Linked DNA regions of Rhinolophus ferrumequinum. The protein of the gene in region 1 purifies or fractionates together with the protein of each later gene. This does not show direct contact. Links are inferred from orthologs where the notes say so. Each region holds a gene or a part of one and is shown in the gene's direction. Other genes may lie near its edges. The genes, in order: CRK, DOCK5, MAP4K5 and NEDD9.

Region 1 (6,927 bases):
GAGAGCTGCCAAATGTAGGAAGCTAATTTTGGCTCTACACAAGAGCCTCCACCCGACTCCATTTATTCATTCATTCCCTCACTCAACCAACATTTACTTAATGTGCCGGGCTCTCTGAGATAGGCTTGATACATGGGATATTGCAAGAACAAAAAAGAACAAAATCTCTGCTTTTATGGAGCTTATATTCTAGAAGGGAAGAGAGGACAATACATAAAACAAATACGTAAAACAAACAATGGGTTAGAGCGAGGTAAGTGCTAGGAAAATAAATAAAGCAGAGAAGGGGGAGAGGGAGAGTTGTGTGTGCAGTTTGCAGTTTCAAATGGACTGGAGACGACGGAAGGCCTCGGTGAGAGGGCAACACTGGAACAGGGACCTGAAGCCGGTGACTGTGGATTTCCAGCAGAGGGAACAGCAAGTTTTTCTCAAAGCATGGCAGCTTGTTAAAGAAAAAGGAAGAAGGTCCGAGGGGCCTGGAGAGGAATGAGCAGAGTGAGGAGACAGGGAGAGAACATAGGTGCATTTCCATCTCACCTCTCTCAGATGTTCTTGATTTTCTCAGTTCCTTGAGGACCGAGTCAAGGAACTTGGCACCTGCTCCTGGATTCCTCCCTGCAAAAGGCTTCTGTGTGAGCAGCTCTCCTGAAGGATGGGGGCAAGGAGGGGGTTTACGTTGCAGCCAAGCAGACAACTCATTCTCAGTGTCCTACAGGATGTTGCCATTGGGAACATCTCACTGACCTTTCCGGGAAGGTCTGGCCTCCTGCCTTGGTTCCCAGCACATTCTCCTCCTCTAGACTCTCCTTGGAGTCCTCTCACATTTCTCCCCAGAGCTTTCCCCTGGTGTCTGCCTCCAGATCTTATCTTTGCACATGTTAAGACTGGTTCTCCTCTTTGCACAACTAAGGGCTACCCACTGGGGGTGGGGCATCCTTCTTTTTCACAGTCTACAAACTCCAGCGGAGACTTGGAAATGTCTCTGTCTCCTTTGTCTCTCCCCCCCATATGTAAATGAGAACAGGGCAGACGTGTATTTTCCCACTAATACAAACTTTGTCTACACACACTAACCCACTTTTCTCTCTTTTTCACAAGCACTTTGGAAAGGAATACTGTCAGTTTTCCCTCTGAATAATAATTTTTGTTATCTTGATACAAATAATCTTTCTGCTTGCCTGTGTTAAAAGAAAAAGTGGGTATGAATAGCCCAGTTCCAGACGGCCCCATTTATGTAGCACCCTGCAGTTGGGCCGTGCACAAGCTGCATAGCTGAATGAGGCAACTCTGGTCACTTTAGGTAACACAGAGCAGGCAGGCGAGCAGGTTGTTGATTTCCTGCTCCTCCATTGCTAAAATAGGGAATGCCTCTCTTTGGTTAGGAGGATCGGGAATGGAGGATTTTGGTGCGTTTTTCTCTTAAACAGGGCAGACTTCCCTTTTCCCCCCTTTTCACCTGTTTCTCCTTCGGGTACTTTCCCCATCCTCCCACACCACCCAACACCAGGAGCCCTTCCTAAGCAAGAAGATCACATTCTTTGTAGGGCAGGTCTCAGGCTTGTGGGGGGGGAGGGGGGACAAAAGGTGCCATTATTGCTGGAAATCTTGACGTATGAAGGGGAGAGGAGGAGAAGAGAAAGGAGGGAGGAGCAGCGTGGGCTTGCCTTTTGCTTGTCCCAAGGCCACTCCTGCTCCCACCTTATTGACCTCTGAATTAGTAGATTCTCTGTGCTCCAAGGAAGAACACACTGAGTAGCTGCTTGGGGCTGTGGCTCCCCTCCTTGCCAATCTCATTTCTTATTTTCCAGCTCAGTTACGATTTGTCCTTCTTTTCTTCCTTCTTTCATTCCTTCCTCTTTCTCTCTGCCTCTCTCTCCCTCTTTCTTCTTTGTATTTTTTTTTTTTTTTAAAGAGGGTGCAGCTCACAGTGGTCCATGTGGGGATCAAACCAGCCACCTTGGTGTTGTTAGCACCATGCTCTAACCAACTGAGCTAACCGGCCACCCCTCTTTCGTCTTTTAAAGTATTTTTCCCCATCATACCCATGTATCCTAGGGAAGGGGCTTAGAGGCATGGCTTCGGAACCTCACAGGTAGTCTCTGGGTAAGGTTCTGCCTCAAAGCCTGGCAATCCTGGGAAATGAAGAGCAGGCACTTCTCTTTCCCAGAGGGCCAGAATTCACACGGGGCTGCTTCTGCTGCTGGCTTGTAGTGACCTGCTGTGACTAAGCCAGGGTCATGATGAGTCATCCACAACAGGGAAGGTGCCCTTGCTCCACTCCCCTTCCCAGGCAGGACCAGGGGTGTGTGACGTGTGTCCAGAAGAAGTGCGTTATTCATGTAAGACCATAACCCAGCGCTGACTAATTCTTTTTTTTTAATGTCTATTTCCACCATCCTCTCCCTTCCTGCCACTCCCACCGTTCCTATCTCAGACATCTGAGGATATAGCAAAGTGACCATAGCTCTCTTCCAGGATTTGAATCTCAGCTCCCCATTCAGCAGCTGTGTGTCTTTGGACAAGTTACTCAACCTCTCTCAGCTTCATCTGTAAAATGAGGATAGTTGTAAAATACCAACCCATAAGGTTGTTGACAGGATTAAACGAGATGATCCTCATAAAAGCAGCACTATGTCTGGCATCTAGTGAATAATATGAATAAATGTTAGCCATTATTATGTAACATTTATGGGGATGCTTGGCCTTCAAAGAACTCTAGCACGGAACACAGACAGACCTGTAAATGAAAGATTACGGTACACTGGGTAAGAACTATAATGGAGATAATATAACAGAAACATAGTGCTGCCATGCAGAGAGGGAGTGATGTGGTGGTCAGGAAAGGGGGGGGGGCATTTGAGTTTGAGATCCCAAAAGGAGTGGAAGGTCAATCCAGAAAGAAGTAACACAGGGTTCATGGAAAAGTAATTGAGACTGTGGCCCACTTTTATGCTGTGAGCTAAACTGGGAGTTTTAACACCTGGAGAGTGTTAAAAGTTTGTGATTTAGGAAGAGAACACTGGCAGCTGTGAGCACCAATGAGCAAGCTGTTCACAGGAATATAGATATAGATATGGAATGTAGAGACAGAGATGGTCATGATGGCAGGGAGAGTGGAGGACACTCATGGCCAAAATTAGGGTTTAGAAGAATCTGATAGGATGACTTGAGAGCCTCAATGGAGAGGACAACTTCATACTTCTACCTGGCTTGGCATACTCTGTTCCCTTTGTCTTGAATGCCCTTCCCCCTTGTCATTCAATATTCAGGTCATGCCACCTCCTCTGGGAAGCCCTCTTGGATCTCTTTACAGATTGGATTAGGGGGCCCGGCTCTGTGTTCTTAGAACTTCTGTCTGTTCCCGATCATAGCATTTGGCATTCCTTTGTCATTGACTGTTTCCTGGTTCCTCACTGGTGAATTTGGCAAGGGTAGGACTCAGCCTTGATCACCTTTGTACCCACAGGGCAAATGTGTCAATAACCGTTTGCTGAATGACTCAATGAAAACAAGAGCTTTAGGTAGCCTGGGGAGGGAGAAGCTGGAGGAAGTGTCAGAAAAAGACCGTCTCAGGTAGCTGAGTCCGTGGGTCCATATCATCTTTTCTATTCCAATTCTGTCTCGGAGTCGCTGCCTTGAAGTCCTGGGCATTCCAGTAACTTGAAGCCTGGTGGAGCGAAGAAGAATCGAGTAGCCAACAGCAGACACAGACTTCTGTGGATGGCTGGTTGAGGCCCAACCCCCTTGGCCTGGACTCCGCCTCTCCATCCTCTGCAGTCCCGGTCCCCGCCAGGGGGCGACGCCCATGAGACCGCATGCGCAATACGCGCGCGAGCCGTCCCTTGCCCTTCTCCCAATGGCGGGCGGAGGTCCCTTTCCCGGCATCCTCCCGAGGGCAGGGAGCGCGTCATTTCCGGTGGGGAAGGCCCGCGGCCGCCGCCGCCATTTCGGGCGCTGCTGTGAAGCTGAGACCTGAGCCGGTCCGCTGGGCGGCGGGCGCCGGGGCTGGAGGGGCGCGCGCGGCGGCGGCCCAGCGTGTAGGCACGGAGGCAGCCATGGCGGGCAACTTCGACTCGGAGGAGCGGAGTAGCTGGTACTGGGGGCGGTTGAGCCGGCAGGAGGCAGTGGCGCTGTTGCAGGGCCAACGGCACGGGGTGTTCCTGGTGCGGGACTCGAGCACCAGCCCCGGGGACTATGTGCTCAGCGTCTCCGAGAACTCGCGCGTCTCCCACTACATCATCAACAGCAGCGGCCCGCGCCCACCGTTGCCACCGTCGCCCGCCCAGCCTCCGCCCGGTGAGGGACGGACAGGACGGGAGGCCCCGGGCGGGGGTGAGGGCCGTGGAACTCCCCAGCCTTGCCGGCTGCTCCTCGCGAGCTGATCCCCACGAAGGACGTGGACAGAGGGCTGGTGTGATCGTGGCAGGGGGCGGCTTGCTGCTGGGGCTGGTTCCCACAGACCAGCGGGAGTGTGGGGGAGGAGGAGCCGCTGACCCAGGCCTCTGGGTGTGACTTGGAAGGACAGCCCAGGGGAAGGGGAACTGCTTCGGCCCCAGGGTGGGGCTAGCGCCTGGGCCAGGCACAAGGGCAGGGCCAGGCAACGTGGGGACAAAGAGCTGAGGGGAATGTTGGCACTGCGGGGGCATCACTTGGCAGCGGTGCCCAGAATGAATCCGATAATCCTACAAGTGGCTTTTTAGGCTTGAAACATTTCCTGCCATGCTAGGAAGCCGGGTTTGGCTATACTCCCCTGGTGGCCTTTGGTAGGAAGTCACCACATACTGGCCTGGAGGGATGGAGACACCCTTCAGGAAACCGCTCAGCTTTTTCCTTTCTTGGGCATTTTTCCAAAAGATTTTTACCGTCCTCTTCCCTCGCGGAGGACGAAGGTGGTGAGCTCAGTGCCTTGGTGATAGATGGCCCTGTATGGCCAGCCCAGAATAAGTGGATGCCTGGATGACTGTACCCAAGAGATCTTAGTGTCCAGAAGACTGCCCTCCGCAATTCGGGGGCTCTATTTCTCAGTGTTTAGTGGAGGAAAGATTTTTGTTTTCTTTCATGAAATAAACCAGAAATAAGCCAATGGAAACAATCCCTTCTCTGAAAGTGAACGGAACTTCATTTTTCCTGGGACTTAAGCATTGTCAGTCTTGTACTTGAGGGCCTCTTCTTGCCCAGTAAGTTGGGGCTGTGATCTGAGTCTTTCTAGATATTGGGAACAGACCTTGCTGGGTAGATGCTCTGAGAATTTAAATGATCAGCACTGAGTCTTCCTTGCCAAGGATGGATGCGATATGACTGTCTTACCCCTGCCATTGGAGTTGTTGGGGGAATATTAGGGACATTTATGCACTTAGTGCTTGCGCTTTGGGAGGGACAGAGTGACTCTGAGGTGACCGTTACCTGTGTTAACAGCACCAAGAAGAGTCCTTGTGCCTTCTCACTGTTCCCAAATTGAAGCACTTGCCTCTTGACCAGCTAAGACCAAGCCAGTCTCAAGTAAATTAGGAGGCTCCTGAGCCCAGCTTTGCAGACTTACCCTTTTAGGATTGTCTTAATTTAGATTTATATACTCTGGCCAGAAATGGGGAGAAAGGATAGTCAGTCTGTTAGTTCTTAACATAAACCAAGTTTAAAAAGAGTGTGAAACCAAGTTTAAAAAGAGTGTGGGATCTTTAAGTACACAAATTATCCTAGGTCTTTCTCAGTCTGGTTGGTTTAATAGCATTATAACATGAGATGGAAATATTGATGTAACATTTGCCCTATACCAGCGATAGTCTACTTTTTACCACATGCATGGTATCTAGGGGTTTTTGTTACAGTGCGGTGATACGATGGCAAATTGTCACTGAAACTCAATTTTCAACCTTGTTTGTATATGTGTTTTATTGGTTGCAAAATTTGGAAATGGCGGCAGGCAGGTTTCTTAGTTTGAGCTCTCTCCACACCTAGGCATTATGATTTTATATCTCAGTGTTTGATATTGAGCTCCACCTTTTCATAACAGAGGAGTTCAGATCCTTGGCCCAAGAGAGAAGGTAAAGATTGCCACAGTTTGTCGATGGGGTGTGGAAAGTTCATGGGCATTGTGGTAATTCTTTCTGCCATGGACCCTATTTTACATGTAGGGCAGGTGGTTCGGTTGCTCTCTTTATAAAGGCTACTTAATCTTTTTTCTGACCTTCCCCCATCAAGCTCTTTTTCCTTTGAAACCACACAGGAATTTCTTGAATTTCAGAAAGGCATATACAATATTAATAGCTAACATTTACTGACTGGCTGTTCTATGCTACGTACTTGGCCGAGCACTTTATGTGCCTTACCTTATTTACTATCTGTAACAATCTAGTGAGGAATGTCCTGGGATCTCCATTTATTAAAATATTTCCACTTGATAGATGAGGAAACTGAGAATCAGTCAATTGCTTGGTCACACAACTTGTAAATATTGAGCTAGAATTCGAACCTGGGAATTCTGACCTGAGAGCTGACACTATTACACTGTATTCCTTTCTGTCAAAGCCAGTTTACTTGTGAGGTCCCAGCAGTGTTGTACATAGAGGACTCAACATATTTGTCTCTGTACTGGGGTCCCAGGTTCTGCCTGAAGACCAAAAGAAAAGGATGGCAAGAAGAAACTGGCTTTGGTGTTCAGACAGTACACATCTGTCTAAAATCAATGATGAAGAGGCTTTTAAACTCCTACTTATTTGGAAAAGTAAATATGGGAAATGGGAGCTTTTTTGCTTAGGGTAATATAATGTATTTTGTGGGCATGATACCTAGGTAGAATGTGTGGCTTAGATACGGTTTTTAGAGGCTTAGGGATAAAATTGACCAGGAATTCTCAACGTTTTATTTATTTTTTAAAGATTTTATTGGAGAAGGGGAACAGGACTTTATTAGGGAACAGTGTGTACTTCC
Region 2 (6,862 bases), on another chromosome or scaffold:
ATTCTAGAAACAAAACTGAAAGCTTTTTGCTGTGATCATGAAAAGAGTGAAAGTGCTTACCAAGCATGAATCTCACAGGGAATGAGGACAGGAATAGCTTTGGAATGCTGACCATCCTCTCCCCATTCATCAGAGAAACTGGACATACAAAGCCACGTGGCAGAGCTAAGGACAGACTCAAAGGTGCTCACCCCTCAAGTCATGGGGTGCGGGGCAGAGAGTCTACAGTGATGTGAGTTTGTGACGTATATAAAAAAGAGGTTTCTAGGGCTGTAGAGATCAGCTCCTTTGTCCATTTACCTCAGGGCTCCCAAATTACAATGAATCACCCCACTCCTAACTTACAGAGAATCACCCTGTCCCAAAGAATTTGCCTTCAGAAGATTGCAAAGTGGTGCTTCGAGTCAATGACATTCCTTTTCCTTTTTTTTTTTTGCTAAGTCTAGCAACTACACTCTCTCATATCTCATATGTAGGATCAAAGAGTGAGTCTCCTCTATCTAGAAAAACAAAAGATGCTCTTTCACTGAATCCACAGCGTCTCTCGTAGAAGCCATCCAGTCAGCCAGACTTGGCGAAGTCAACCTGGTAATCAATGGAGGAAGTGATGTGCTTGGCAGTTTTGTTGACATCCATCTAGTCTCAGTCATTATAAGGGATAGGCACAATATGCATGGCAAACTACCCTTCACATTCATTTATCCTCACTGCTTTCTCCAAGGCGCCGCTTCAAACAGAACACTCGTGTTGGTGTATGCCTAAGTATGTTTGCATTTGTGTGGGTTTTGAGTCGAATATCTCTGGTTGTAAATACGCTTAATGTTTCTTCTGAAAAGAAATCAGAGGAAAAGGAAAAGGATATTTCTGGGAATCAAGCTGTTATTCCACCTACCCATCTGGTTGACTCTCTAATTTTAAGCCTCATTTTAATAAAAGACTTTGAATAGCACTGCTTTTATGATTTAAATGGCCTTTCCAATTGAGATTTAACCATCTGATATAACAAAGTGGGTGGACTTCAGTCTTCAGAGGAAACAGAATAAACATACTCAAAGCTGTAATTTAAATTTTCCATTTTCCTCCAGCCCTCTTAACACAATTATTGTCAAACTTGAAATAGCCAGGGCTTAAATACAAACCTCAAGTTTTGCAAAAATCTTATAAGGCAAGGGTGGGGAGAGGTAGCTGAAATCATTTTGGTAGAAATCCAGTTCCACTGGATGAGCATTGAACACTCTGATGTGTATTAAGTTTACAATATATCCATGGTTAGAGAACACTGGACATCCAATCGTCTTGAACACGGAGGATGGAAGAAACTTTGTGAAGCCCCATCCCAAAATGCTTCAGTTCCTAGCATTGTACATGAAGGAGTTACCGAGGAAGGTATGAAAAAGTGAGTCCTAAAGAAATATCAAAAGAAAACTTTAGTACAGAACAACTTGGATATAAAGGATAAAGATGAATTAGACATCACAGATGACCAAAAAAAAGGCAACTCTATGTTCCAGTAGCTCAAGCCTCAAATCTTAGGGTCATCTTCGACCTATCTTGTGCCTTGACCCAGGGACAAGATCCAAGGTTTGTGGGGCCTGAAATGTATATAGTGAGGCTCTTTTTTTTTTTTTTTAAAGAAAAGCATTATTTAGGGGGGCAAACTTTCCAAAAACATATGCTGATGAAAGTACCCTGAGGGGTCCAGAAGCCTCAGTCATTTCCCCTGTCCACACTGCCTTTCTCTTGGTTCTACCTTCAATATATTTCAAGAACCCAACCTCTTTCCCACCTCTCCACCTACACTCCTGGACCCAACTACCTTCATTTCTTGCCCCAACTCCTTAAATTGCCTTCCATCCTTCTGGTCTTTTCGCATCTTCCCTTGTGTCTTTACACTCTGCTTCTCCCACAGCAGGCAAATTAGATCATGTCCTTGGTTGGCTCAACACACTCCAAACCGCTCACAGTAACAGGGAAAAGTTCTTACTCTGCTTTCCAAGTTCTTACTATGCTTCCCATGTGGCTGGGACTACGTTTCCTCCCACACTCTGCTCCTTACTCACCTGTCACCACCTGGTATTCCTTGATGTTTTTGGAACCTGTCAAACATGCTCTGGGCCTTTGCATTTGTTCTTCCTGAGTCCAGAATACTTTCTCTGGAATCCTTACTTCCTTCCTGTCTGGATTTCATTGTCACCTCACCAGATCAACGCCATCCCACATGCCTTGCTAACCCAATCACTATAGAACAGAACCTCTCCCATCCTCCTTGCTGTGGATTTTTCTCCACAGACATAGCCTCTTTGGGCATACATTCATTTGCTTATTGCCTTCATCACTTCTTCTAGACTGGAAACTCTATGATGAGAGGGATTATACTTTATTCATTGCTGTGATCCATTCTTAAAACAATGCTTGACATATAATAGGTCCTTCATAAATATGTGTGGAAAGAAGAAATTACCTAACCTGGGGAGTTAGGTTAATCATGATGGCAGAGGAAGAGAGAAATTTCCGGGGAGATGGTGGAATTCCTTCTGTTACCATTGGCAGAGAAAATAATCCTCATGTCCCTTCCCTGTATTACTTCTAAATGTTAGGTTTAAAGTGACAGATTTCTTAACTTATTATGACACTTTATGGGTAAATACCTATTTGCGGATGAAGTAGAAAGTAAACCTAGAAGTTAGCCACCGCGAACAGGACCTCTTTTTAAAAACTTCAGATCTGACTTTGCAAAATGCATGAATTCTTCAATCAAGTTTTACTGTTTATCTTCCTTTCTTTTCATGTTCCAAATAGGCAAGAAAGCCATCGCAGACTGCAGGGACAAAGTTTCTCTCAAATGTCATTTTCTCAGACGGTGAATATAAACCAGGTGGTCATTTACTCGGATTTTTACTTCCATGTGTGAATTAAAGACCTCCCCACCATCCACGCTTCATTCTTGAGGTCTCTCCAGGAGGAAGTGAGTTCCAGGAGGGCAGTTTTAGAGGGCAACAACAGGAGCCTAGGGCACTTCAAAAGAGCATCCGTGCGTTTGGCTCTTCGTTGAAACAATACAGTCAGTGAACCAGAAGACTTGGATGTGCCAGGTCCCCTTCTCCGTAGGGATGGTCTTTGCGCGGTTGGTCTGCTGGAAAAGGGAGGCATTGGGGCGGGCTTTTCCCTTGAGCATGAGGGTCTGAGTTCCCCCGAGGCTCTCCTAGGAAACCATTTAATACGTCCGAGGAGCCCGTCTGCCTTGTATCTGTTGTCTATTTACCAGAAGACACACATGTTCCTGCTTTGAAGGCTATAAACGGTGGCCACAGGAGATCAAGTCTGTCCTGGAGTCCGGCTTCCGGCTCGCGTGGTGTCAGTTAAAGCTCTAGGGGGTGGACGCAGTCGTCAACTGCTCATTCATTCAACAACTATTTACTGAGGGCCGCCGAGTGCCGGGCACTGGAGGTGTCCCGGGGGCGAAAAGCAGCTCTTACTGGTACATTGCGGTGCCCCCGGGGCCCCGGCGCGCGCAGTGGGGACGCAGCCCGCGCTCCTCGCCCACCCAGGGCCCGGCCGGCCGGCCTGGGGGGGCCCAGCGTCCCAAGCGCAGCCCTCCAGACGCCGGCGCCGGGGAACCCGCCCCCACGGAACCAGCCTGGAGGGTTGCATCCCGGAGGGGAAGGCGGGGGAAACGCAAAATACCAAAAGTAAAGCCCAGACCCCAGTCTGCACTGGGAAGCTGCTCCGGGAAGTCGGCCAGGCGGAGAACAAGCTGGCCTGGGCCGGGGAGAGCGGGCGGGAGAGGCCGGTCCTGGCGCGGAGGCGGGCGGAGGGCGCGGCGGGCGGGAGGGGCCGGGGCGGCGCCGCCGCCCGGCCCAGCAGGTGACCACGGGCCGGGCCGGAGCCGGAGCGAGTCCCGGGCGGGCGCGGGCGGCACAGGCAGCGCGGAGCCGATCCGTGGGGTCGCGGAAGTTTACCGGAACATGGCGGAGGAGCCCGGGGCGCGCAGGGGCGCCGCGCGGCGGCGGTGGCCGGCACCCCAGGAGCTGTAGCCGCCGCAGCCACAGCCGCCGAGGGGCGAGGTCGCCGCCATGGCCCGCTGGATCCCGACCAAGCGGCAGAAGTACGGAGTTGGTGAGTGATCGCCAAGTGCGCGGGAGCGGCCCTGTCTGGCACGAAGTTGGGCGGCGGATTCCAGGCACTGGGTGTGCGCGCCGCCCGGGACTGGGGTCCGGCTCCTGCGGCCCCGGGGGGCGCAGTCAGCACTCCACTCCCGCGGCGCAGTCCGGGGGCGGGTGGGGAATCGGAGTCCTCTCCCCGAGCAGGAGACCCGCAGGGGAAGTCACTCCGGGCTTTGGGAAGCCGAGTGACTAAAAGTGCATCTGGGCTCCGGGACGGATCATCCTGTTCCCGAACCCAAAGCTCAAGCGCCTGGCATAGTGGAAACGTCAAAGGCGAGGGCGCTCGCGGGTTACTCCTTTAGGGGCCCCAGCTTCGGTGCTCGCGCCCCTCCTCCCCACCGTGCGGTTTCATTCAGGAGTTTGTAACCCGCGGAGGACCGCTGAGTGCTGCTCGCTGTCCAAGGGCTTTCTGCCTCCCTCTTCTTCGGTTCTCTCTGAAGCCCCAAAGTGAGGAGTTGGAGGGTAACAGTTGTGAAGTGAATGGGAAACTCAAGTTGTGTGGATGTGATGGAAGAGACAGGCATTTTGTGACATGGAACGGGGGTGGTGCCCCCCGAGGCCGGGGCTCATCCCCTAACGGAGTGTATGGAGAGGGTTAACGACAGCCTTCTGAACCCCGAGTTTCGTCGCAAAATCAGATGAGGACACTTTATTAGGGAAACCGTGACAGATCCCGCGCTAGGCACCTGGCATTCGTAGCAGCGGTGCGGGAGGGCTCCCACGGCGCGCGGAGGGAGGGGTTGCTGCTGTGTGGGTTTGGATCCGAAACAGGCGGGGTTTTGACCCAGGTGGAAACCGTGGTCCTTCGACTTTCCATTAAGGAGAGAGGTTGCTCAGGTCTCGTGGGGAAGCTCTGCCGTAGGGGCGATTAGGAGCGACGCTCCAGTAGAAACACAGATGTGTGCGTTGAGAATTTTATCGCTTCCTCTCAGGTTCATTCATTTGGCCTGTTTGTAATCTCATCGTTTACTTCACTCCCTTCCGCGCCCCCATTTTTCCTTCCTCAATGGTGCCTAGGACAGATCCCTGAACCTAGTTAGTACTTTCAGATGGCGAAGTGATTTCAGAGATCCGCTTACTATCTCCAGATGCGGTTCAACTCTGTAGCCAAAGCAACAACAAACCCTCTCATGTTTACTATATTGTTCTTAGATTGTGATCCTTTTTGTGTGTGTGTGTGTGTGTGTGTGTGTGATAATACATGTCCATACTATTCCTTGTTTTTCCCCTATTCCCAAAACGTATTTGATTTTTTTTTCTTTCCTTTAAAGTGCGATTAGTACAAATCCTCGCACTCTCCTGTGGCTACAACTCAGAAATCGTTAGGTGGTGTTTCTCCTGCCCCAGACCACCCTGTCATGATTTGCTCATGAAGCTTCAGAAAGGGACGCTTAGTCAAGTGCCAGTTAGTAAGTAGTCAGTAGTTACGGAAGTGAAATGGTCTAAAATAAACCATTTTGAGTATTATCCAGTACTAACTACTAAATTAAATCATATTGAGCAGTGCCTAAGTGTTCATTACTACTTACAAAATGGTTCTCAATTCTCATTTTGCTTACCAGGATAAAAGCTGTTTGCAAAACGATTAGGCCTTTGGTGTAGTTAATGCAATCATATCCTACAACTGTGGTTTTTAGTGCCACAGTCATAGGAGCAAGTATGAGACGTTCTCTCTTTTTTACCCTGTGCTGGATTCAGGTTACCTTGTTAGTTTCCATCAGTCAAGGAAAGTATTTGAATTGCATTTCCAGGGCATAGGTGGTAGCAAAATTGCCCCAAGATATAATTTTTGACACTCGTGTCACTGGACACAATAGATTCTGATTAATCTGTACTTGAGGGAAGGACCCACTCTTAGGACAGATTATCTGACAATAAATCACCATCGTTTATTCCTAAAACACATTGTTACTCATATCACCTCTCTGCTTAGAAGCCTTCCTTGGCCTACAGGGTAAAGTCTAAACTGAGCCCAACTTTCAAGTTTCCCATAATCCAATTCAACATATCTTCACTGACGTTATCGCTCTCACTGCTTCTTTCATTAACCCTCCAGTGCAGACACTGCCCTTCTGGCTCTTGCGCAATGTGCCACGGAGAGTCCCTCCTTTGGGACTTTGCCCCCTTCTGCTTGTCCCTGTTCAGATTGCCCTCCCACCTTTGCATCCCACAATGCAGAATTTCCCTTAGGGCTCAAATCCCTCCCCTTTGCCACCTTCAGATTTGGTATTCACCAGACCTCACACCTTCATACCTCTCCCTCACAATTCCTACATTGTGCGATCCCTTATATTATTACTTATCCTCTTATCCTTGAATCCAATGAACCAGAAGGTTATGGTTTTGTACCCCTGTCACTCAAGAGATATGCTACCAGGTATAGGGCCTTCCTGTAGTAACTGCTTGTCCTTCGTGTTGAGGTGACATCCTAAAGCACTAGCCTAACTTTTTCTGTGAGGATTTAAAGCTGGTTTTTCTCTATTAGGTTTTAGCATCTCATTCGCTTCAAGATGAGGTTTTAGCATCTCGTTCACTTCCATATGAGGTTTCCTTTGTTCTGTTAGATGGACAAAGTGAGAGCCTTCAGTCTGTCTTTACCTTTGCAAGTAAAAATGTGACATGTGCTGCTGAGAAACAAGGAAGCATAGAATAGATGGGCTTGTTTCAATGTAATTGGGAAAATTGGCTTGTTGGGCTTT
Region 3 (7,583 bases), on another chromosome or scaffold:
AAGAAGCTTTTTGATTTTCTACTCATGCCTTAAGTATAGAATTAAAGCCTCCCTATTTGTCTTGTTTGCCATATATTGTCACAGAGGCAGTCAGAGTAATAACACAATTTTAGTAATCATCACTGTCAAAGCAGATAAGTGCTAGAGATTGATCTTCCAATGCTGTGTCCTCGAGCAGCATTCCATCACCGGCCATCTCTGATAGTTACTTGAGTAATTGTGATGCCACTCCATGCTATGGCAGACCATTGTTCCATTTTCTGTGGCAAGTAGTTTGTTTATACAGGTAATCAATCATCATGTATGTCAGTAATTCCATCCCAGAAAGCGAAGGTTTCCTTCCTGAGGCTACTTCCAATTCATCTACCAATCAGGGTTCTGGCAAGAAAGAGGTAGCACAGAAAGAGAATCTAATGAAAGGACTTTGTAAAAATGAGGACATGGTTAAAGGAACCAACAAGGGATAGGGAAGCACCCTGAGACTAGCAACAGTGGGAAGCCATCATCATCCTTGCCCTACAGGTTAGGTAAGGAAGAAGAGCTTGTTAGAATCCTGCAAGAGCTGTTATAGCTGTAGGACAGAGTACTAGAGGTTCTCAGAACACTGGCCTATATATAAGGTATAAGCAAACTTTAGACGCCTCTTCTGAATATTATACTCATTGTGCTATGTAGAAATTGATAATGAACATAAGATTATTTGAAATTTTCTTAGTTATTGAATTTGCAGACAGGACCAATTTATGAGTTGAATAGAGGAACCCTGATACCAATTCTCATATAAATCTTAAAACTACCATGGGGATCAGGGTAATGGAAATAGCATTTTAACATATCAGGCGAGTAATTCAAGCTGGATGAAAAAGCAATGTGCACTGCCTTCCTCAACTCTTCTTTTTAAAACTCCCATCGTAATGACCTGATACTGATTCTAAATGATATACATGATCTATGGCTATCCAGAACAAAATAGAATTCTCCTTTCCGTACTTTGAGAACATGATTTTTGCCTCAACAGACAACTGGGCCTAATTAGTAAGAGAAAGAATAGTTTAACTATTTGAAAATTCAAATCATAATTATGGCCGATGCCTTCCAACATTTAATTTATATTTAACAAAACTGTAGAGCATTCAACTCAATCATATAGTTACATTTTGCAACTAATTTATGTTGGAAGATTCATCAGATTATACGAGTTCTGACAATTAAGTTCACGAACCCATCCTAGAAAAAGTGCTACATACCTCATTGCTGAAAATCACTACAGCCACCTTTGAAGTACTCCCCTTGAGAAGCTGTGCACGCTGACGCCAGCACCTAGTCCACCCTTCAAAGCAGTTTTGGAACTCTTTTTCTGGAATGGCCATCAGAGCTGTCGTCGTATAACCTTTGATGTCCTGAATGTCATCAAAATGTCTTCCTTTCAATATTTCCTTTATCTTCAGGTAAAGAAAGAAGTCATTGGGGGCCAGATCAGGTGAGTAGGGAGGGTGTTCCAATACAGTTATTTGTTTACTGGCTAAAAACTCCCTCACAGACGGTGCCGTGTGAGCTGGTGCATTGTCGTGATGCATGAGCCATGAATTGTTGGTGCAAAGTTCAGGTCATCTAACTTTTTCACCACAGCCTTTTCAGCACTTCCAAATAGTAAAGTTGGCTAACTGTCTATTTGGTGCAAATTCATAAAGAATAATCCCTTTGATATCAAAGAAGGTTAGCAACAGTGTTGCAACAAGTTTGCGAACTTAATCGTCAGACCTTTGTATTGCTTAAACCTCTATGTTCCATACACTAAAATTATTGTTTTCATGTTCTGTTCTTTCACACTTGACGGTTTAATTAGCCATTCTGTCTTGGATAGTAAATTGTGAATCTTACCTATACAGAAGTTAAAATTTTTTATGTCCCTTGTTTTTTAAAATTTAGCCTTGGCTAAAGTTAAAACCAGAAGCCACAGATTACAATTAGCATTTTACTGAAGAAGGAAAAAATGCTACAAAGCATAGAAAAAACTATTATAGGTTGTTATATAGATTAGAGTAAAAGCTGGAATAAATTTGCATGTCAGATATTATGAAGACACTAAGAAAATAAGATGGGATGAAGGGCCATATGAAGCCATATTTATTCTTATTCCAAACCTTGTCATTATAAAACTGAGTAGTTTGTAAGGAACTCTCCTTTTAGCTACAATTTTTATTATTATTATTATGTAACCTTCACCTATCTGTTTAACTGTTTAGAATATAAAATTAAATTTATACACTGTATGTTTATTTTATGGAAATTGAATTAGAATTTCTTTACCAACCATGTAATATTTAACCACTAGCTATGACTTCACCGATCTTGTTAAAATTAACTCAACCACTAACTATTTAAAAATCCTTAAGATTCTTTTGGAGTTAGTATAAAGCAAATGCTTTCCCCTTTGCATCAACTGTGGTACAAGTAAAATAATGATTATAGCAGACACAGTTTTTAACCATCACGCAGAATTTTGACTTTTTCCGTGCTATCTGCCTCTGAGTTCATGGTCAAAGTATATGGATTTGCCATTACTGGCAACATAAAATATCTGCACTCCAGGGTCTTGTTGAAGCCTATGACCTCACTTTTTTATTACTTAATTCATATCAAACATTGTGTTTCAAGAATAACATGCTTCAAGGATTATCAGAAGGACATTTATCCTTGTTTCAAACTGGGAATTCAAAGTTTCCACTTTATGAAAGCTCATGAGGTAAATTTTTCTAAAGTCTTAGAATCAGGGAAGAAAGTGTGTCTCTCTCTTGATCAACTGGTTCATTGTGATCTCCAACTGGTTCATTGTGATCACTATAAAGCCCTCTATTTTGGTTAATTTGTTACATTGTTCTGGTATCCTATTTTCCCTCTCTATAATATCATATCTATTTCCTAATTTACTTATTTCTGTCTTGTGTTATAGTATGTATTTTTTGTATGATGCCCCAAATTCTCTGTGGAATAATGCAAGCATAAATAAGTAAGAATAAATATGTTTCAGACTAGAGAAAAGATCAATGCTTATAGGGTCACAGGAAAAAAAAAAGAAAAAAAAAATCTATGACAGTAAACAAGTACTAGGATACCAATAGAACATTTGAAACGATTTTGAGTCATTGAAGCCAAAAGTATGTGCCCACCCAAACAAGTGCCAAGAAGCTTTGAAAGAAGGAACTGTTCTTCAACAATTTTTTCAATGCAGCAAACACATAGGCTTTGTCCATAGAGCATGTAAGTCTGAGCTTACTTATGTTCCCTAAATAAGTGCCCTTTGTGCAGGGAACACAAGAAAATACATGTTTTCCCTGTCCTGCTAAGGTGTGAATTTAATTCCTACATTATACAATTGATTATAATAATCAACAACAGGAGCATATTGCCCCAAAACAGAACTGAATTGGATATTCAAAGCCATAAGCTAACATCTGCAGCGTGCTCTTTTGTGATTTTTCAGTCACAAATGCATTGGCTGAGTGTTATGTGGCTTTTCTGTTCAAAACCCCTACTGGGTGCTAGAAATACCTTTGCCAGTATACATAAATCTGGCAACTTTATTTCTACCTTCAAAACAAGACTGGAACTGAAACTGCAAACCAGCTTGTGAAATATCAACCAAATTACTTCCCCCGAATTTGTTTGATATTCTGTGTTTTGTGAAGTACTTTAAAACCTCTTATATTTGATAACCCTCTTTATAATCCTGTAAAATGCTTTATAAACACTTTGTCGGATGTCAGATGCAAAACCTTATCCTCTTTAAGCTGCAGACAAGGATATCGAGATATTGCCAAATACGATGTCTTGTGCCGGATAATACACTGAAGAAGTGGTAGAACCAGAACCAGGCTGAGGTCTCTGACTGTTTTAGCTTCTGCAGAACTTCTGATCCAATTAAAGGGGCGTATAACACTCCCTTTATAGAGGGTATTAGGAGACACTGCGTGTGAAAAACAGGAATAAAGGCCATGGAGACTTCCTAGGAATTCAAGGAAATGGCTCGGAAAACTCAGTAGAAGACAGGTTGGGCAGGTGTGCTGTGCAGCCTTAAACTGGTACCACTGAGAAAGGTTTGCAAAACAGGAAGGTGCAGTAGGGTGTGCCGCGGTTTAGTTAACCTGGCATGCCCCCATCTCCTGCCTGACGCCCCACTTCCAGGTAACTTCTGGCCCAGTGCCCTCAACGTACCTTTTCCGTGTTGAACTGGGAGGGCTGCGTTCCCAGCCGCCTCGTGCCCACTCTTCCCCCTCTACCCGTCACCGAGTTTACCTGACGAATCTGGGGCAGTTTAGCGGCGGCCTATCGGCACACAAATGCCCAGGGGCGTCCCTAATCTCTGCGAGAGGGTAGTAAAGCCTGGGCCCTGAAAAGACGTGCTGGGCCAGCGGGGGCGCGGTGGCCCGGCCGGCAGGGTGTCGTGTCCCGACCAGGCCTCAGGGCGGCACTCTGGTCCTGCGGCCGGCGCGCTCGGGCTGGCCGCTGGGCGCCGACCCACGCTGGCCGGGAACGTGTCTCCGGGTGACGCAGCCCCGGGTGGGGAACGTGGTACGGCGGCGGCGGCGGCGGCGGCGGCGGCGGCGGCGGTGGCGGTGACCGTACGCGCCTCCACCGCCAGCTAGAGGACGTGTGGTGCAGCGGGAGGCGGCGGCACAAGGCTTGGGGCGGCGGGCGCTGGAAAGCAGGACGCAGGCGCCGGCGAGGAAGTAGGTCCCGGGCGCGGCGCTCAACAAAGAGAGGGGCCGCCCCCCTCAGGTACCCAGCCGGCCCTGGGACCAGGCAGGCGGGGAGGCCGGGACAGACAGTTTGCAGGCGGCGGGGAAGGGGGAACGGCCGCGGCCAAAACGGGGCTGCGGGGCGCCGGGGACCTATTTACTGGCCCTATTTTTTGCGGCCCCCAGCCGGGCGGAAGGGAAGGGGCTGGGCCACTCGGGGTCGTAGCCCGCGGCGCCGACCCGCCTTTGCTTGTCCCTCGTGCAGGCGGAGCTGCGGGCAGAGGCTCCATGTTGGGAAGCGGCGCCGTTCGTCCTCGTTAGCGGGAACAGGGCGCCGCGGGCAGAACCGGCGGGGGCCGGGTGCTGAGCGAAGATGGAGGCCCCGCTGCGGCCTGCCACGGACATCCTGAGGCGGAACCCGCAGCAGGACTACGAGCTCGTCCAGAGGGTCGGCAGCGGCACCTACGGGGACGTCTATAAGGTGAGGCAGACCGAGCCCCGGCCCCGAGCCGGGCGCTTTTCCTGCGGTCGGCTGGCTCTCGGGAATAGGGCCACTTTCTGGCCAAGTATGAGGAGGGGGGAGGATGCTTTTATTGTTTGCATCGTGGAGATACAGCGGCCGGGATCCCTTTCACTCCGTGCATTGCTTGCTCAAATCGCTACCAAGAAGCAGAACTAAACATACTTTTGCAAAGTACTGTTGTCCTTTTTTTGTGGTATAAAGGCATTTTAACGCTTCTTTATCGTACTGAAGGGAGTTCGAACCTGCTTATGGAGTTGCACTTGAGAATGATTTAGTCTTAGCATGGAGAAGTCCTTCATGGAAGATAGTAGACAGGAAAGAATATTGACATATTGGCATCTGCATTTAAAAAAACTAAAATGGATGAGCTTGACTTTAAAAGTCGTATGAAAACCTTATCTCAATTTTAACTGTACGCAATCTAATACTGGATCAAAGTGATCTGTGCACAAACATTATCCTATGCAGAAAGATGCTTTTCCTGGCAGAAGTTTTATCATTTGTATCTGGTCAATGGGTTTTGTTTTGTTTTGTTTTTCCTACTTCAGCAGTTCCTCTCTGGGATTTATAGCATCCCATGATCAAGAGTGGATGAGAGCTGCTGTCTTTTTAATTGTGATCTTTTGCATTATTTGAGACCCACGATGAGGGTGAGTTTCTCTTAGTTTGGGACTTAAGAAAACATCATAGAGAAGCAAGCCCAATTCCCTAAGTCCACTGAGTTAGTTCTTCAAGGATCAAGAGGAAGGAGATTGTTTCAGATTGCCTTAGGCTTTTTGTTCTGTTCCAAAAGGGAGTAATAATGCAACTCATATAGGTATATTAAGGGAAATTTCCTTTGATTTTGCAACAGCTTTATTTATTGGATTTAATCATGGTATGTGTGTATCCCATCATTCCAAATAACACTCCTGCATGTATCTGAAAGGGCCTTGTGTGTTATGTGGGTAATTAACCAGTGGAGTCTTCTGGGGTTATGTTGTTTTTGCACAGGTGGTAATGTGGAAGGAAAACATTTCTGCTTTTCTGCTTTGGTTTAATATCATCTCTGTTAATACTAACAGTTCCGAGTGGTGTTATGACAGCTCTAGCACTGTTTGATTCTATTGAGATGGACTGTAATGGGTTGGCTTTTTATTTGTTAAGCAGGTATTTAAATCTTCTGTACTAAGCACTGTTCTAGATAAGGGGTTTTGAATTGTGAGGTAGGTCCCAGCTCTTGCCTTGTATACTTTCAAATTCAAAGTAGATAATTATAACATAATCCTCTTTTTCTTTATGTAGAATTAGAGGTAGCTCACTCTTAATTGTTGATCTATGAATTAGTCATGTTGTGGAATGCTCTTTAAAAAATTGAAATTCCTGTTTGCCTTCTCATTCTTATTTTTTAGTCATCTTTGTCTTATTATTTAATCCATATATAAGTGTTTGCCCCACTAAAAGCCCAAGACCTCTACTCTTTTCCTTTATAAATAACAGCAACTGAAGCAGCTACCCGGAGCAGGATTTTATTTTTGCAAGGGAATTCAAAAGGTTATATTAAAGGGGCAGCTAATTCTTCTTTCACCCTGGGGCCTCCTTGCTCTTTGTCCCTCTTCCACAGCTCCTAAACAGATGGTCAAAGATTGAATATCATATACCACCTTCAATGGCACCCCTTCCGCACGATCACCTTCCCTCACATTCATGCTTTCTCACAGTTACATATACTCTCAGTCTAGCCTCTGATTCATAAACATCTTCAACTCGGTTCCTTGTCTTTTGTTTTCCTTTCTTCTAATTACCTGAAATCACCTCCCATTTCCACCTGTTGCTATCCTACCTGTCCATGAAAGTCTTACTCAGATATTCCTCCAGGAAGCTCCAGCCCCTTGATCTTTCCAACCTCATCTACTACTCTTCCCCTTCCTTCACTCTGTTCTGGCTACACTGGTCTGCTAGCTCTTTCTTAAACATAATAAGCATCTTCCCACCTCTGGGTGTTTGTTCTTGCTATTCCCTTTGCTCAGAATGTCTTTCCTTAGACAGCCACATGGCTTGCCTCCCTTCCCTTGCTTTTATACCCTCTCCATCTTTTTTTTCCTACTTTATTTTTTCCTTTGCTCTGATCACCATTTAGCATAATGTTTTACATTTTTTATTGTTTATCATCTATCTCAATCCACTAACATACATACTCCATGAGCGCAGGAGTTTTATCTGTTTTGTTCACTGCTCTGTGTCAAATAGCACCTAGAATTATGTCTGGCACAAAATAAGTGCTTTCTAAAAATTTGATGAATGAATGAATATCAGTAATTCTATCACCTAGTTCTGTGGGC
Region 4 (7,913 bases), on another chromosome or scaffold:
AAGCTAATGAAAATCAAGATAAATATGGGAGAATAACAATTATTTTATTAAGTTTTATTGTTTTACCTCTATTACTAATATCTAGTATAAGTTAAAAATCCAAAGACCAAGGTTTTCATCCTGGCTCTGTGGTTTCATTAACAAAGTTGTTAAACCTCCCAAGATCTCAGTTTTCCCATCTATCAAATGGAAATAATAACTTCCTCTATTTAGCTTATATTCCAGAATTGTATAAACCAAGACACCGAACATGACAATGCTAGGCAAACTGAAAAGATCCACACAAATGTGATTTATTTTCTCATTGTCATTATCATCACTAATCATTACTGCTTTAAGATTCTGGGTTGCTCAGCCATCTCATATCTTGCCAAAAAGTAAACGGCTAGCAGCCACAACAAACTTCATACCACATCTGAGCTTACTTTTCAAATTGGCTTAGTTTTTATAGTAATTAAAAAATAACTCATAACATTTCATGCTTTGTCCCTGCAGTGAGCCAACCGGAGTACAATCAAATTTTGGAAATTATAGAGTACCAACCCCAGGAAGAATTCTTTTGCAACACACACACACACACACACACACACACACACACACACACACCACATATCCTACAGCACTAAGAAAGTTTGATAGTAGGTGTGAAGAAGACTCATCCCCCACAAAAACTGAGAAATAGTTTGTCTTCTCTTACTGGCAAACTTTCTATATATCCTTCCTCTTCAATATTGCCCCTACTCCCAGGTGCCCAGAATCCTGTTGCTAAACTTCTACCACTTCTAAGTCAGTTAATGTGAGTCTGTTTACTCAGTGCTACAACTGGGGTGACAGTGAGTGGGGTGAAGAATCATCATCGTCTTTATTCTCATTTTTCCAATCTTCATTTATTGAACATTTACTATGTGGCTTTATATTCAACATCTCTTTTAATCTTGCAACAACCTTATGAAATACATATTATTGACTTCGTTTTACAGATGGGCAAATAGAAACTTTGAATGATTATGCAATTCACCCAAAGGCACACAACTTTTAAGTGGCAATGTCTGCCTGAAGTCCCTGTTTTTCACCACCTCAGTTGACTGTCTTCCCAAGTATTTCCATCACTGGACAGAGATTTATGAGGAGGAAGATGTTCTTTTGGGAGCTTCTGCATGTACACCCTCTACTGTTTTTTACTATCAACCCACCAACATATATTTTTAAACTCTTCTCTATACATGGATGGCTATGCTAAGCTTGGAGGAACGTAAAGAACTATAATGTAAGTGACAGTGATTTAACTCCTCTTTATAGGATTCTCTGTACTTGAAAGGAAAAGCTATGTGCCATACACCAAATGAATGAGTTCCTAATGATACAGTTTCTGACACGGAGGCAAGCAGATGGGGAAGAAGTCTTGTTTCTATGGGGATTTCTTGTTGTTTGGTTGCCCTCATGTGTGTTTGTTTTAAAGGGACAATCACTGTACTCCTAATACTAGGGTTTCCAGGGGGGAATTCCTGCCCATTTTCAGGAACTTTTTTCACTTTCCTGTTCTGAATCCTGAGATACAAACTGTTTTCTGTGCTTCATGATGAATCGTTTCCACAAAGTGACGGCCGATACTACAAACCACCTGGGTTCAAGGAGCTGATTTTCCCAATTTCCCGACCAACGTTTCTCAGGATTCGGGAATGGAAAAGTGAAAAAAAGTCCCGAGAACAGGTGGGAATTCCTGCCCGGAAACCCTAGCGATAAATAGGAAAAATGTCTAAGAGAAACATTGTGAGTAGTACATTTATTTCCCATCGTGGGTACTACTGGGTTCAAGGAGCCGATTTTCCCGATTCCCTGACCAACTTTTCTTGGGATTTGGGAACGGGAAAGCAAAAAAAATTCCTGAGAAAGGGCAGGAATTCCCACCTGGAAACCCTACCTAATACCATACCGTGTAGGCAATCATCTGATCTGACCTCTCAGAAGGTGCGATCTTAGTGGCGTCGTTTTCAATGTCCTTATCCTAGATGTAAAAATGGCTGTTTGATCAGTCTATCTTAAAACAATATTTATGTCTGTCATTCGGAGAATCAGAAATTATGCTGATTATTCCTAACGACACGACTTGTTTTTCTAACTGCAGAAAGGGTAAGGGAACATGTTTTAGAACTTTCGTGTCTGCGTATTGTTTTTGTAGGGTGTCTTTTTTTTTTTTTTTTGCTTTGAATAAGAGCATCAAAACTCCATTGTATAAACAGTCGATTTTGCTAATAATATCTCGTGCCTAGAGCTCTAAGATTAAATTATCACACGTACTCATAAAATTGTTCATGATGGCCCTCTTTGTCATACTGGTTTTGGGGGACAGGATTGAAACTCATCTTCAAAGTCTACCCTATTACATCAAACTTTCATAGGATCCTGCTGTTTTTAAGTACATGATCAGACAATTTACAGGAATCTGAAAAATGATTTGCCTTTTTAAAAACTTGGGATTCACCATTTCTGCCCATCTTCCAAGTCAACCTTTGGAAGTAAAAGGTCTTTAAACTTAGGTTAACTGGGGGAAAAAATGTTTCTGAGTACCCAGATTCCAGGTAGAGCGTGCCCTCCAGGAATACCTTCACCGGCAGAAACAACACTCCCGTAGGGCTATCAGAGCAAAGGCAGCGGGAGGAACCCTCATGCTGCCAGAGGGTCTTATTGTGTAAGCCTCCTCAGCTTGCCTGGGGTCACTGAGCCAGGAGAGGAAGGGACACCCACCGATGTAGCACAAAGGGCAAGCGCATTTCGCTTCTGACCTAGAAGCCATGCCCAGCTCCTTCACATGAACTGCCCCGAGCTGGGTCTTGTTTCCAGGTCCCCCTCAATGCTGAACAAAGAGACTTCACTGGATCTCCAAGAAAAACACCAGCAGCACCGAGTGCCAACAGAGAGAAATGAGGTGTGCGTTTTCTGGTTTCGTATTGCAGCTCTTCTAGCTCCTCTTACGACAAAAATAACATCTGCAATGCCAGAAACCTATGAAGTAATAAATAACCTTTCCCCCAGACGTTTGCCAGCTTTACCTTGCTTTGAGGCACAATCAGGCCTGAAAAATGTATGACTTTGTGTCTTCCAACTTGAACAGACATTGCCCCTTAGGAGAGGTTAATGACTTCTCTCAGCTTCACACTCACTCTAGAAGGGAAGTGTGGCAGTCACTAGTGGGATGTCACAACTCGCATGGACTCAGGTGGTTCAAAACGTACAACCTGTAGTACACATTCCAGGCAATGAAAGCAGATGGTGAACTAGCTTCCAAAGCAAATCAAATAGCAAAATCGCTACTCAGACCAATAACCAATTGACACAAAATTTAACGTGAAAAATGCTTTAAAACCCACAAACCACTTCCCTTCGAATTCTTGATGGCAAACACATTAGGTCATTAAGAGAGGCTTGCTATAAGCTAATTTCGGAGAATAGCATTCACACCTTCTGCAACAGAGCCCATCTGAGGGGCCCAGTTCTCATAATATTCTCCTGGGAAGAAAATGGCTGATGTGCAAGCAGCATTTTGGTGGCTTGGTTAAGCCTCTGAGCCTCCCCGATAGGCACATGCCATCCTCAGAGCATGCCAGAGCTTAATGCCCTGAGTCCTTTAAAAACGTAGTTGCACCAGGAAATTGACTGCTGTGCATGCTACAGGATGCTGTAATGACACGTGATTTGATCTACCTTTACTTTGCACTTTGGTTTTAGATGATCCATTTAGAAAAAGGTCAAAAAAAGAAAAAAGAAAAGGTCCATAGTTATGTGCTACAAGAGTGCAACCAGTTACACTGCTATAACAGAGGCCCTTCCGTCTGCCCTTTTCCTCTTTCAGGATACGCTCACTCTGTAGAAAATTTGCAGTTGTTATCAGTTGTTTATATATTGGTGTGAATCAGTTTTAAAAGTAACAGATGGACATAAGGACACTTGTCCATGAGCAAGGGACTAATCACTAGAATAGGAGATAAGGAATAGGAAAGATAAACTTTTATGTGACTCAGTTACTATACACACACACACACACACACACACACACACACACACACACACACAGCATCTACATTGTGCCTGGCACTCTGGGGGCTGCTGGGAAGGCAGAAATGAAAAGCATCAATTCTCATCCTGTTTAGAGTTTTTTTTGCCTAAGGTCAGCTCTTCTGTTGGACTGGAATTCTACTTTGCAAATCTCTTAGTGAGGCAGAACTCAGGGGCAAGAAGAGCCAAGAAAGAATAAAATTAGAACAAAAGGGAAGGGGTAAGGAACAGTGTCTAGAGTGGGGACATTGACAGAAAGAAGCAAAGTTCAGAAAAATAGTCAGTATTAGAGACTGGCCCAGACAAGAATTGGGTTACTGAGGATGACTTCCAAGGTTATTTCCGTGGATCATGGGCCCTCAGGAAGCATCCTTCCCACTTCAGATCCCAATTTTCCCATTAGATAAATGAGGAGTGTAGAGTGCACCAGGGGTTCTAAACCAGAGCAGTTTGCTCTCTCAGGATATTTGCCAATGTCTAGAGACCTTTTTGGTTGTCACCCCTGGGGACAGGGGCTACTACTGGCATTTAATGTGTAGAGGCCAGGGATGCTGTGAAACATCCTACAATGCTGAGAACAGCACCCACAGCAGAGAATTACCCAGCCCAGAATTTCAATAGTGCCAAAGTTGGAAAACCCTGGGCTGTACCATTTGAAGGATCTATTAACCACCATTAATAAGTTCCATGTGGTTGATGGCCCCCCAAAAATGTATTGGTCTGGAACCAGGAGTCCACTGGCCATACTTTGCATTTTCCCAAGGGTCTCAGAGCCAACGTGACCCATTATACTTATAAATTTTGCCTTGTTTCCTGGCATTCCTGAGCACATGTCCGTCACACTCAGAGGTTGACCAGTGCCACTCAAAGGGAGATTTGGCCTGCAATAAAGTTGGAAGATGCACAAAAGTGGATCAGTCAGCAAATACGCCATCCACTTGGGAGCTGCTCTGAGTTTGCACAACATAGAAGGTCACCTACATAAATTCATACTCATTGATACTGAAAGACTACTGCAAGGACTCTTTTGAACCTACAGGGTTTGTGACAAGTGTCTAATACAAGAAAGAAATATCAAAAAATACTGTGAAAGACATGGCACCTATGCGTCTTGGTAATTGTTTGGTGAGTACAGCCAACAAAAGCAGAGGCGCCCCTATAGTTTTGGAGTGGGCTAACGAGGTTCCAAGAGTTTGCCAAGTTATAGAACCATTCTGCCCTCCTGCCACAGGTACACTCGACAGAAGGTTAACCAATGGGAGAAAAAAATGCTAGTGCCCCGAAGGCCTCCATAGGTAGATTCCAGCTCAAGCAGTAAGGGCTCTGCCTTGTCAGGTATCTGAAAATGGAAAGGTGGTTCTGAAAAGCCAAGCCAGTGGCTTGTTACCCTGCATTCCCTTACCCCTCTAAGGCCTGAAATATCTCCCTGAGACTCTGTCAAACTGCTACTGTTCATTTACGATACCAGGTATCCTACCACCCTCTAGCAATAACCACACAGAGTAACTTGTGAAATTCTTCTCACTTTGCTGATCCATCGAGACCCAGATGCCTCAGATGCCAAAGGACTTACATGGATCCAACCACTACCTGCCTCTCAAGCATAATATCCCTCCATACTCTCTATGCTCCAAACACACTGGATTTCTTTTAGTTCCTTGAATGCCTCCTGCTCCCTTCTGCCATAGGGCCTTTGTACATGTGTCATCTGCCTTATGTCCTCTTCCTCCCAGGCCATCACCACCCTTTGCTATTTGGTTAATTCTTTTCTCCCTTCAGAGCTCAGCTCAATCACGGCCTCTCTCACACAGACATTGTCCCTCACTAGGTCATCCCTCACACACGACCCTTATGGTACCTGTATCTCTTCTTCATAGCTCTTTCCACAGTTGCAAATTTACATTAACGTATGCCTTGGTGTTCAATTAATACCTACTGAATCAACACATAAATGAATCATTCTCCCCTGAAATGGAAGAAAGACCCTCTCTGGCCACACAGTCCTATTTCTCTTTGGTGGTTCCATTCTCTCAGCACGGGAAGTTGTTGGCTTGCCTCTTTACCCACCGAGAATCTTCCTTCACTGCCCAGCCCCGCTCACCCATTCTTTCCTCCATGACCTCTTCTACTATCTCCCACTCCTCACAGAATTTATTTCTCTCTCTCTGAGATCTCGTAGCACTTTATTTGTGTCTTTTCCCATGTTGCTTTGAATTAGCATCAGTTATAGACATATTAGTCTTCAGTTTTGGACTCTAAACTCCTCGAGAAAAGAGACTCAGACTAGCATACTGTTTTACAAAATATGTGCTTAATAAATATTCGCTAAAGTGAAATGACACTCGTTACAGCTCAGGTGATGGGAATACTCTCGATTAGCAACTCTCAGCTAGCACTAATACCAGGGAGATTCCACCTACTTGAGCTTCTAGAGAGGATGCAGGCTGGAGATGGTACGAGGTCCTCTCTCCGTGGGGAGAGAGAAGCTAGGTATGCTGTGAGTGTGTCCTAATTAACAGGAAGTTGCTGTCATCGTTGGGACCCGATGGGATTCTCCTCTTGTTCCAGATGGCTGTCATGGCAGTAATACTGCTTCTCTTCATGTAAGGTTGTCAGGTTTAGCAAATAAAAATATAAGACTGCCGGTTAAATTTGAATTTCAGATAAACAACAAATATTTTCTTGTATAAGTATGTCCCAAATATGTCATGGGATATACTTATCAAACAAAAAAAAAGTATTCATAGTTTATCTGCAATTCAAATGTAACTGGTCATTCTGTATTTTATCTAACAAGCTTAACCATATGCTTGTAACTTATGGTTGAAGATGCTGTGATATTAACTGGTGGTTCCAAATGACAACCCACAACAAATGAAAACCAATACAAAATGATCAGATAAATGTCATTCTTTCTCGATGCTTATCCATTGGTCTATATTGCTGTCATATCATTGTATGAATCATCATTGTCTGAAAGAGCAGGTGCTGAATCCTTTTTATTCTTTGTAGGTTGATGTTGCAATCACATATGCACTAAAAGCATACTTATGTTGCTGCTTCTTGTGTTCAGGAAGCAGAAACAGACTTGGGTGATAGTTTTTATTCTGTTCCCACAGAAGATTTAGAGTTAAATTCTAAAACAGTACTATAGTTTCCCATACATAAAGGTTTGCATTTAAAAAAAATAGAAAAGGAGAAACCAATCGGAAACATTTTAAATAAGTTAACATGAAAATTTAGGATTTAACCCACAATCAAATGTGAGTGAGTTTGTCCCAGGGTATAGGGTTGTACAGAAAAAGGAAAAAGCATATAGTCTCCAGCAATTTTCCTGGAGACCTATGACTTTTCAAGGAGGAGGAAATAAAAGTGAAGAATGAGCCATGTACCCTGATCAAATTTTCCCTTCAGAAACACCAACTGCTACATACACTTACTCCCTACAACCTTGATGGAGAAGGCCGGATTCCTATAACTGGGGAGGCTTTTATTTCATTGTATCTTCTCCTCCCTTACAATCCTGCAAGGTGAGACTTTTTTGTTGTTATTAACAAAAATTAAAACTCAGTTTTAATTGATTTGATTTGACAAGTTTTTGTGAGTTAAGTGACTGCACACATGCGTGAATGTGGCAAAACCAAAATAAGACATTGCCTCGATGAGAAACTAAATGAAACCTGTAAGGACTCTAATCTACTCATTTTCTTTTGACCATAACCTGATCTTTCTCTAGAGGTTCTTGAAAGAACATGTCCTGATTTCCTTGGGACTTGCTTGTTTTGCAAGAATCTTAGATCATTCAAACAAACTTAAACATTCCTGTGTCCCTACTGTTTCCCCAGAAGATAATATTTTGT

The links.
Region 2: the proteins of CRK (region 1) and DOCK5 purify together in Homo sapiens (affinity purification with mass spectrometry; 3 studies listed by BioGRID and IntAct, with this or other methods). This does not show direct contact. The link is inferred for Rhinolophus ferrumequinum from reciprocal best matches to the Homo sapiens genes CRK and DOCK5.
Region 3: the proteins of CRK (region 1) and MAP4K5 purify together in Homo sapiens (affinity purification with mass spectrometry; 4 studies listed by BioGRID and IntAct, with this or other methods). This does not show direct contact. The link is inferred for Rhinolophus ferrumequinum from reciprocal best matches to the Homo sapiens genes CRK and MAP4K5.
Region 4: the proteins of CRK (region 1) and NEDD9 purify together in Homo sapiens (affinity purification with western blotting; 3 studies listed by BioGRID). This does not show direct contact. The link is inferred for Rhinolophus ferrumequinum from reciprocal best matches to the Homo sapiens genes CRK and NEDD9.

Annotation. Positions count from the first base shown.
Region 1 is NC_046304.1:16,425,174-16,432,100, forward strand, and holds the start of CRK (adapter molecule crk), read left to right. Parts: upstream 1-3,905; 5' UTR 3,906-4,055; coding exon 4,056-4,296; intron 4,297-6,927. UniProt on the Homo sapiens protein: Involved in cell branching and adhesion mediated by BCAR1-CRK-RAPGEF1 signaling and activation of RAP1.
Region 2 is NC_046301.1:41,911,907-41,918,768, reverse strand, and holds the start of DOCK5 (dedicator of cytokinesis protein 5), read left to right. Parts: upstream 1-3,849; 5' UTR 3,850-4,073; coding exon 4,074-4,116; intron 4,117-6,862. UniProt on the Homo sapiens protein: Guanine nucleotide exchange factor (GEF) for Rho and Rac. GEF proteins activate small GTPases by exchanging bound GDP for free GTP. Along with DOCK1, mediates CRK/CRKL regulation of epithelial and endothelial cell spreading and migration on type IV collagen.
Region 3 is NC_046289.1:41,696,455-41,704,037, forward strand, and holds the start of MAP4K5 (mitogen-activated protein kinase kinase kinase kinase 5), read left to right. Parts: upstream 1-4,580; 5' UTR 4,581-4,730; exon of another isoform or gene 4,731-4,779; intron 4,780-5,004; 5' UTR 5,005-5,112; coding exon 5,113-5,220; intron 5,221-7,583. UniProt on the Homo sapiens protein: May play a role in the response to environmental stress. Appears to act upstream of the JUN N-terminal pathway.
Region 4 is NC_046292.1:82,820,933-82,828,845, forward strand, and holds the start of NEDD9 (enhancer of filamentation 1), read left to right. Parts: upstream 1-4,901; 5' UTR 4,902-5,148; coding exon 5,149-5,178; intron 5,179-7,913. UniProt on the Homo sapiens protein: Scaffolding protein which plays a central coordinating role for tyrosine-kinase-based signaling related to cell adhesion. As a focal adhesion protein, plays a role in embryonic fibroblast migration.